Rattus norvegicus: one gene and its partner. The protein of the gene in region 1 purifies or fractionates together with the protein of each later gene. This does not show direct contact. Links are inferred from orthologs where the notes say so. Each region holds a gene or a part of one and is shown on either strand. Other genes may lie near its edges.

What was found.
Region 2: the proteins of Arid1b (region 1) and Dpf2 purify together in Homo sapiens (affinity purification with mass spectrometry; 7 studies listed by BioGRID and IntAct, counting the BioPlex papers as one, with this or other methods). This does not show direct contact. The link is inferred for Rattus norvegicus from reciprocal best matches to the Homo sapiens genes ARID1B and DPF2.

Annotation. Positions count from the first base shown.
Region 1 is NC_086019.1:48,319,818-48,323,632, reverse strand, and holds part of Arid1b (AT-rich interactive domain-containing protein 1B), read right to left. Parts: intron 2,905-3,815; coding exon 2,121-2,904; intron 210-2,120; coding exon 79-209; intron 1-78. UniProt on the Homo sapiens protein: Involved in transcriptional activation and repression of select genes by chromatin remodeling (alteration of DNA-nucleosome topology).
Region 2 is NC_086019.1:212,618,141-212,621,955, forward strand, and holds part of Dpf2 (zinc finger protein ubi-d4), read right to left. Parts: intron 3,438-3,815; coding exon 3,274-3,437; intron 2,332-3,273; coding exon 2,239-2,331; intron 2,107-2,238; coding exon 2,028-2,106; intron 1,552-2,027; coding exon of another isoform or gene 1,510-1,551; intron 548-1,509; coding exon 410-547; intron 281-409; coding exon 152-280; intron 7-151; coding exon 1-6. UniProt on the Homo sapiens protein: Plays an active role in transcriptional regulation by binding modified histones H3 and H4. Is a negative regulator of myeloid differentiation of hematopoietic progenitor cells. Might also have a role in the development and maturation of lymphoid cells.

The DNA of each region.
Region 1 (3,815 bases):
TTAGGCACCAGCTTAGCATTATGCATACTCCATTTTAGAACACGCCAACTTGTTGCCAGCTGTGTGCAGCTGCCTCACCTGGGAAAGATTGAAGGTGGCGACAGTGCTGTCATCATAGAGGAGAATGTTGATGGTGTCCAAAGCCCACGTGCTCTCAGCCAACAGACCGGATTTAAGGGACATCATCACACGCCACGCCTCGGGAGTAACTAGAAAGGAGAAGAGGGTGTTGTAAGCACCAGCTCTGGAGGAGGAAGCGGAGCGCTGTGCAGCAGTCAGCTGTGTGTGATCATCTGACTTCAGCTGGGGACGGTAAGTAGACATGCTACTTTGCTCTTGTGTTCTGGTGGTGGGACAGGAGCCCCAAGTGCATGGCCAGCACACATGGTCCTGTCATCGTGAGCATTTCTTTTGCCACTTAGTAAGGGTAATGATCGAGTCAAGCTCAGCAGAGCTGGCTTGGGAGGAAAATGTAATCCTCAAACAGTGTAACATCAGAGAATGTCTGTGTTCTCCCACAGCTATACCCTGCTGTGGCTGAACAGGTACTCCAATGGTTGATTTTCAGGTGCGACCGTGCCCAGGAATGGGAGACTGAAAGTCTGCATTCTCTGTCACTCTTCCTACTCCTGCCCCTAGAAAAGTATGACTAAATGACAGCTGTCAGCTTTGCTGAGGATGGGGTATACTGGACTACAAGTCCTGAGTCTACACTGGGAGATTTTCAAAACTGCAGGGGCCTGTGATGTGACCTGAAAGAGAGAGGGGGACTGATCTACCCATCCTCCCAGCTCCTTACAGTGCAGTGTGAGGGGCAATTGTGCTATGATGTGTCTTATGATGCAGTGAGGGAGGGGCTGTGTCCAAGGGTGTCCTTCCTGGGATTTGGCTTTACAGGTGTTTTAAGAGGAAAACATGTCTTTTGTCATACAAGGGATCAGACTTTTGAAAATAAAATCTCCCTAGGTTGGAGGCAAGCACTGACAGAAACTGGACTAAGAGATTAAAAACAAAACAAGATTCAAAACCAGATATAGGGCTGGAGAGAAGGCTCAGGGGTTAAGCACACTGGTTCCTGGACAAGACCAGGGTTAGCGTTCCAGCACCCGCACAGTAGCTAACAGTCATCTGCAACCCAGTTCCTGAGGATTTAACTCCCTCTTCTGCTTCCTTGGGCACTGTCGGCACATGCAGATACAACATGCAGGCAAAATATCACATAAAGTAAATATGCTTTTAAAAAGTAGATTTATGACTATTTAAACACACAAACGTAGATAGCTATTTCATTTACATTTCTATAAAATAGGGCTCAGTATCTATGGTTCCATCATCTCTCTAAAGTTCCCATATACAAGATACCCTTCTTAATGTCTAACAACTAAAAACATCTTTAACATCGTTAATTAAATCTTTCATTTTCTAATCACTGCCAATGGCTTTAAGACAATTGATTCCAAAATCTTTGAAAAAATTTTCTTACACAACCAAGAGCTATTATTTCCTCTGTTGTGTGAAAAGAACTTCAAAATGCATGCAGAAGAAGCTGTTAACTAACGGACACCCCAGACCACTAATTAGTATGCCCATGGCCTTCGCAGAGGACAAGTAAGCAATACTAGCTCAGCTGAGTTAGCTCCTTGGACTGTGTCGGCCAGTGTGATGTGATTACATCAGTGCCGGAAATCACAGCGGAGGGCACTCACATACCATACCTACCTATCTGCGCAGCATGGCCAGGCCCTACTCCCTATGGAAACTCATCTTACATTGTCACTAGAGTGGCTGGCCTCCAGTGGATCTCTCGAGCATCCAGTGTAGAAATCAAGTGGCTTGGTTTTGTCTAAAGCTCAAGCCAGCACCCAGCCTGTGTGACTGAGGGGTTTGGCCCCTCCCTGGAGGGCTAGTCTCTTCTACAAGCAACCTTTGCACCTGAGTGTCATTAGATTCAGGCTTTTCTCTGGTCTGTTTCTTATTCAGACACGTGGCTTCTAACCAATGCTCCCATAGATAAGTAGCCTATAATTTGTACTGTTGAGATTCTCATCCAATTGAGACAGATGGGAATTGTGTCTGTATTAAAAGTTCTAGATTGCATTTTAATCCATTTTAATGCTTACCAATATCTTTTGAGGTAATCTTCCGCCTTTGTTTCAGGACTGGCTGCGATGCTTCTACTGAGCCAGGAGGAAAGGTAATCTCCCTTCTGATTGGCGGTGGCTGTGGGGGTGGTCCGGTGACCTGGGATGTGGGGACCGTGGGCATGACCTTCTGCATCTTCATGGCAGGCAGGAAGGGGGACTTGCTTGGAGACATGCGGCTCTCCAGGGAGCGCGGGAAGGAGGCAGGGCTGGGTGCCCTGGAGATGTGGTTTGGCAGTGACGGCGGCGTCTGGTAGGATGACTGAGGTGGGCGCGTGATGGGTTGCATGGAGGCCGATGATGACATATAAGGCTGGCGCTGGCTGACATGAGAAGGCCACTGGCTCTCGTGATTGATCCTCTGATCAGGTACCATCATATCATCTGTGCGGTTCATGCCTGGGTAAGGGGGTGCCTGTGCAGGGCCACCTGGGCCTTGCCTGTTCTGGTAGGGATAAGGCATATCATTGCGTGTAGCCCACATATTCTGCTGAGGCCCCTCATTGGAAGATGACTGCATGGGGCCACCCATCATCTGAGGTGGGATTCCATGTGGCTGCATCTGGCCTGGGCCCTGCATCCTTTCTCTATTGTAGGGGTAGGGATACTGTCCCTGGATGGGCCTTCTGTCCGGGCCAGAGTAGGAGCCTCCGTACTGGTTATACATCTCCTGCTGTTGGCTGCCATACTGCATGTTGTACATGTCTCCCTCGTGGCGCTTGGCTGGAGGCCCGTACATGCCATCCATATGGCGTTTGTAATTCTGAAATCCATATAAAGACAATTATACTGATGTTCTCTTAGAGGTATAGTCATACACACTCGAATTATGCAAAAGTTATTACTGGGTAGAATGTTCATTTCAAAACGGATACGGGACGCTCCTATGTACTGACAAACGCTAACAATTTAGGCTTGTTTTCAGTATTGCCACACACTCTTAGGAGGGGTGCCCAGGTTTGTTTTCAAGTGTAAAACATTTTCTATGACCCCTCTCCTTGAGCAACACAGGGACAGCACACCATGGCTGACCACCATGTCAGCACACGTGGATAGATGGAACCAACAGTACCCTAGGAGCCAGGGTGCTCTGACTCATGGGAGCAAACTGGATATTTCAGGGCCGTTCTGGGAGGTTCTGGGCTGAGGGGACCCTAGACCTCAGTAGATGGCAGAGCCTCTGCTGACGTAGCTCCTGGACCATGACACCTGCAGTCCACATCCCGGCCTGCGCTCAGATACACAGCTCGCCCAGGCTCAGTTCTCCACGGAACCCTTACTGGTCCCTCTACACAACTCCTTTGGCTCAGCTCCACCCTTGAAGACTCTCCTTGGTACCCACTGGGTGGGTGGGAGATATGTGGAGGGGTGCACTGTGCACTTCAAACTGTCTCTGGTAAGTTACTTCACCAACTGCAAAGTATGCTCCAAGTAAATGAATATTTCAAAATGACTTTGTGATTGAAAAATTCTAAAAAGAAAATGCCCTCCCCCCTTTTTGGTGAGCGATCGCAGACCAGAAAGATTGTTCAGAAACAGCTAAACCCTAAGGAGGAGCCCGACCCTTAGGGCCACTGTGACTTCTCCAAGGTTGGGTTATACAAGACTTGGCTGTGAAGTATGCCACAGGAACTAGCCTACTGCAGAACATGCCATTAATTTATCTTCTGAAGA
Region 2 (3,815 bases), about 160 Mb from region 1:
GATGCCCTGTGGAGGAAGGGAGTCAGACAGTGGGCTGGAGACCAGAGCGTGAGTGGGTAAGGGAGGCTGCCTGACTATAAAAGCACTCAAGGAAGCAGGCCAGGAGGGTTGTGGGTACCGAGTACACCCTGCTTTTTGAGGATGGAGGTACCTGAGCGGCCACAGTCAGAACAGGACACCAGCTCCTCAGGCTGCCCTGTCTTCTTGTTGATTTTTGAGTCTCCCAGGCAGAAGTCACAGTAGTTGTTAGGCAGGGCCAACCCATCAGGTCCTTTCTTGGCTACAGAAAAAGAAAAAGACTCTGATGATGGTCAAGGGAGCTCTGGGTTACCCTACATTCTCTAGACGGAGGATTTTTATAAACAAGCTGGTTCCTCTCCTGATTGCCTGCCCCGACAGCTCAGCTTACATTTCTGCTCCTCAGACCTCTGGGACACAGGAGTGGGTGGTTGGGAGTCTTCTTTGTCCTCTCCTTCCTCTTCAGCCAGGTGGGAATGGGCATAGTGGTAACTGAGGCCAGGTCGGTTCTTGTAACGTTTTCCACAAACTGGGTGGGAAAAAGATTGCAGAGAAATATTAGGACACAAAGGTGCTACTTTCCCACTGTGACAAGTTATGAAGCTCCAAATGAGGCCCAAGGGAAACCTCTGCCCCAGTGTCCCTACTCTGGCACAAGCTTTAGTGACAGTCCCTTCCCTTTAGCCAAGAGCATCAAGCCCTGGGCCTCTTTAATTTCTGGGACTCTCTTCCCTCTCTAAAACACAGACCCATAGCTACCAACATTTTTCCATGCTGGCTTCTAGAAGGACTTAGCCTCTGCTGCATCAACTTGCCCAAGAAATAGTAACGTCTGGGAGCTCCAGGTCGGGAATGTTCTACAGTGTAGCCTTATGGCAAAAAGGGGGATGTGATGAGGAGAGACCAGGCTCTTTTTCTGCTATGTAGATGTGTCAGGCTCATGCCACCCTGTGCATGCCAATCTCAGCTGAACAGACAAAGGGCTGAGGGTGGGTCTCCTGGTGAGCACCTACTAACTGCCAGCCAGGATAATTTCCCGCAAAGAAACTGAAATATATTCCCACACTAGTGCCCTGCCCAGCCCCTGCCAACCAACAAGGAAAGATTACATGGCATTTTATCTTGAGCAATGACACCAAGAGGAGCAAGGAGGCCAGCAGGAAGGAATGGGAGGATGGGAGGAGGTGGTGGTGTTGATGGTGGAAATGTGAGCTGACTGCCTGTTGTCTGGTTTGGGGAACATCGGATGAATCTATCCATAATGGGTTTCTGTTAACACTAGGCCAAGTGGCCATAGGAGGCAGTCTGTGATGCAATGGTAAAGACAGCTGCTAGGACTGAGAATGGAGCACAACCCGGGTACCACAGCACTACCCTCATACCGTTGCAGATTCCAAAGCTAGTATCACAGGAAATGAGAAAGGTAGGAGGAACAAGGGAAGAGGGGAAAGGGATAGGAAAACCACAAGTCTGAAAAGTTGAGAGAGCTACCTCTCTGGGGCGCTTTCGAGGTATGCTTTTGTTTGAAACTATCTGAAAGACAGAAAGAAAAGTCGTGAGAAGAAGGCCTTGATACATTTGAGACAGGGCAGCAGCAGCAGGAAAACAGAGCAAGTGAGAGAGAACCCCAGCAGTGGCACTTCAGGCTGGAGGCACGGAAGTAGGGTAAGCCAAAGCAAAGGGAGAGAGGACAGACACTAACCCTCAGGGCTGGCCGGCCCCTGAGCCCTGCCCTGATGGGTCAGCAGATCTAGATGCTGCCCACTATGAGGCCAACACTGCCTGCTTTGAGTTCCCTCATTCTCCCACCCCAGGACCCACAGAAATCTCTCCCCAGAGCATGCAGGTCCCACCCACTATGAAGCGAAGGCCAGGTTGGCAGGCAGGACAAGAACCCAGGCTTGTTTTACCACTCAGTGCAAGAACATGACCTCCCCCCCCCCCCCCCCATATCCAGAGCAGGAGCTGGGTCTGAGGCAAGAACTACCCACCCCTAAGGTGGCACTCACTGTCACAGGCATAGGGCTTATCCCGGTCCTCCAGGATGGAAGCGTCCAGCTTCTTCCGGGCACTGCTCACACCCTTACTCTGCCAAGAAAACCAAAAAGATGATGCCCTCACTAACACTAAGCGGTCTTGGCCAGAAGAGCAAGGCAGAAAGCAAGAAATGTCATAAGATTGGCCTCCACAGACCAGCCTACTTCATTATTCCCTCCTCACCTTGGATTTCCCCTTTCCCCGACGCTTTGGAGTATCTTCTTCATAGTCCTCGTCATCAAGGTCGTCTAGGAAGTCATCGGGTTCAAGGATCCGCTGAGTGGAGCAGGAGATTGGAATGAGCAGAAGTCAAGCACATCCCAAAGCACCCTCACAAGATAGAATTAGCCCCCTGGAACTACCCAGAAGCCTCTCTGAGGCTTAATCCACAATCATTCTTCACCCTGCAATCCCATCACTGCTTCCCCAAATGCTTTCTTTTCCCTGTGCCTCTTCAAGTTGCTCCCCTAGCCTAGAATGTCTGTCCTCCATCTCTCAGGAGCCAAACACTGTTTCCATAAAGCTCTCCTGGCACCCCAGGCAGCCTCGTCCTGTTCTGCCTGCTCTGCTTCCAAAATGCATGTCCTACTTTAAATAAGGTTTTCTGCTTACTTGACCTTGGGAAGTTTTAACCGCTTTGATTCTGCCTCCCTGTCAATGAAATGGGAACCACAGGACCTACCTCATGAGGCTGCACAAGAGGAAGCATATGGGGAATACTTAGCAGCGTACCTGGCTCATCTGTAGCTCTTCTCATCTTTAAGCTTAGCATTAACTTCCCAGTTGACAGGTGGGAACCAAGTGTGCTTCACCTATGTCACAGCAGGTATCTAAGTCTCTAATAGTCAGTCTTGCCTTGTGTGAGAGAGAATGAGTGTGTGAGCCTGTGCTGGGAAGGAGTGTGGAAGGCTAGATGGAGCCAGGCTGGGGCTGGCAGAGCCCAGGACTGCAGGGCAGCCTCCGCCTCCATTTCGGCTATTTTTGTTTTTTGTGTTAGGGCTTACACATCAACAGGCATGTATTCTACCATGATCTGCTTCAGTTCTACTAATTGGACCAAAAATTGGCTCAGAGGTTAAGAGCACGGATTGCTCTTCCAGAGGTCCTGAGTTCAATTCCCAGCAGCACTTGGTGGCACACGATTAGTGGTCCAATTAGTAGACCCAAAAGAGGCTGATCCTTATTAAAGTCCTTTAGCCATAGATAGGAACGACATACCTTCCGTGCTCGACTGTTGGTAACAGGAAACTCGCCCAGGCTGTCATCATCAACTCGGGGATCTGGGGCACCCCGTTTCTCCAGGGGATCAGTACGCAGCAGAGCCTCTAAACTGCTGCCATCCTGGGAGATAAGGCCCTCTTTCTTCAGAGTCTGGTCCGTGTCTGCAACAAGTCAAGATGAAGCTAACTCAGAAGGGCTGAAGCTGAATCTACACCACGAGGGGCCAAGTCAAACCCAGCCACTTCTGTTCTCCAGGAACCGAGATGTATCTGTTCAGCCGGCACTGGAATAAGCTGCATTACCTGTTTTCACTAACAGTGGGCTCCCTGAAGGACAGAAGCAAAGTATGTGCAAGCTCAACAGAGCCTGGGGAGAGCCGGCAATCAGCAAGCCTCCCCTCATACAGACCATGGCCTTCCTGAGAAGGGAGCCCCTTACTTGGTTTATTTACTCTGGATTATTTTAGTCATGACATATAAGACATAATCATATATGTCTATATGGCGCATGAACACATGTGGCTACACATGTTGGGAGGA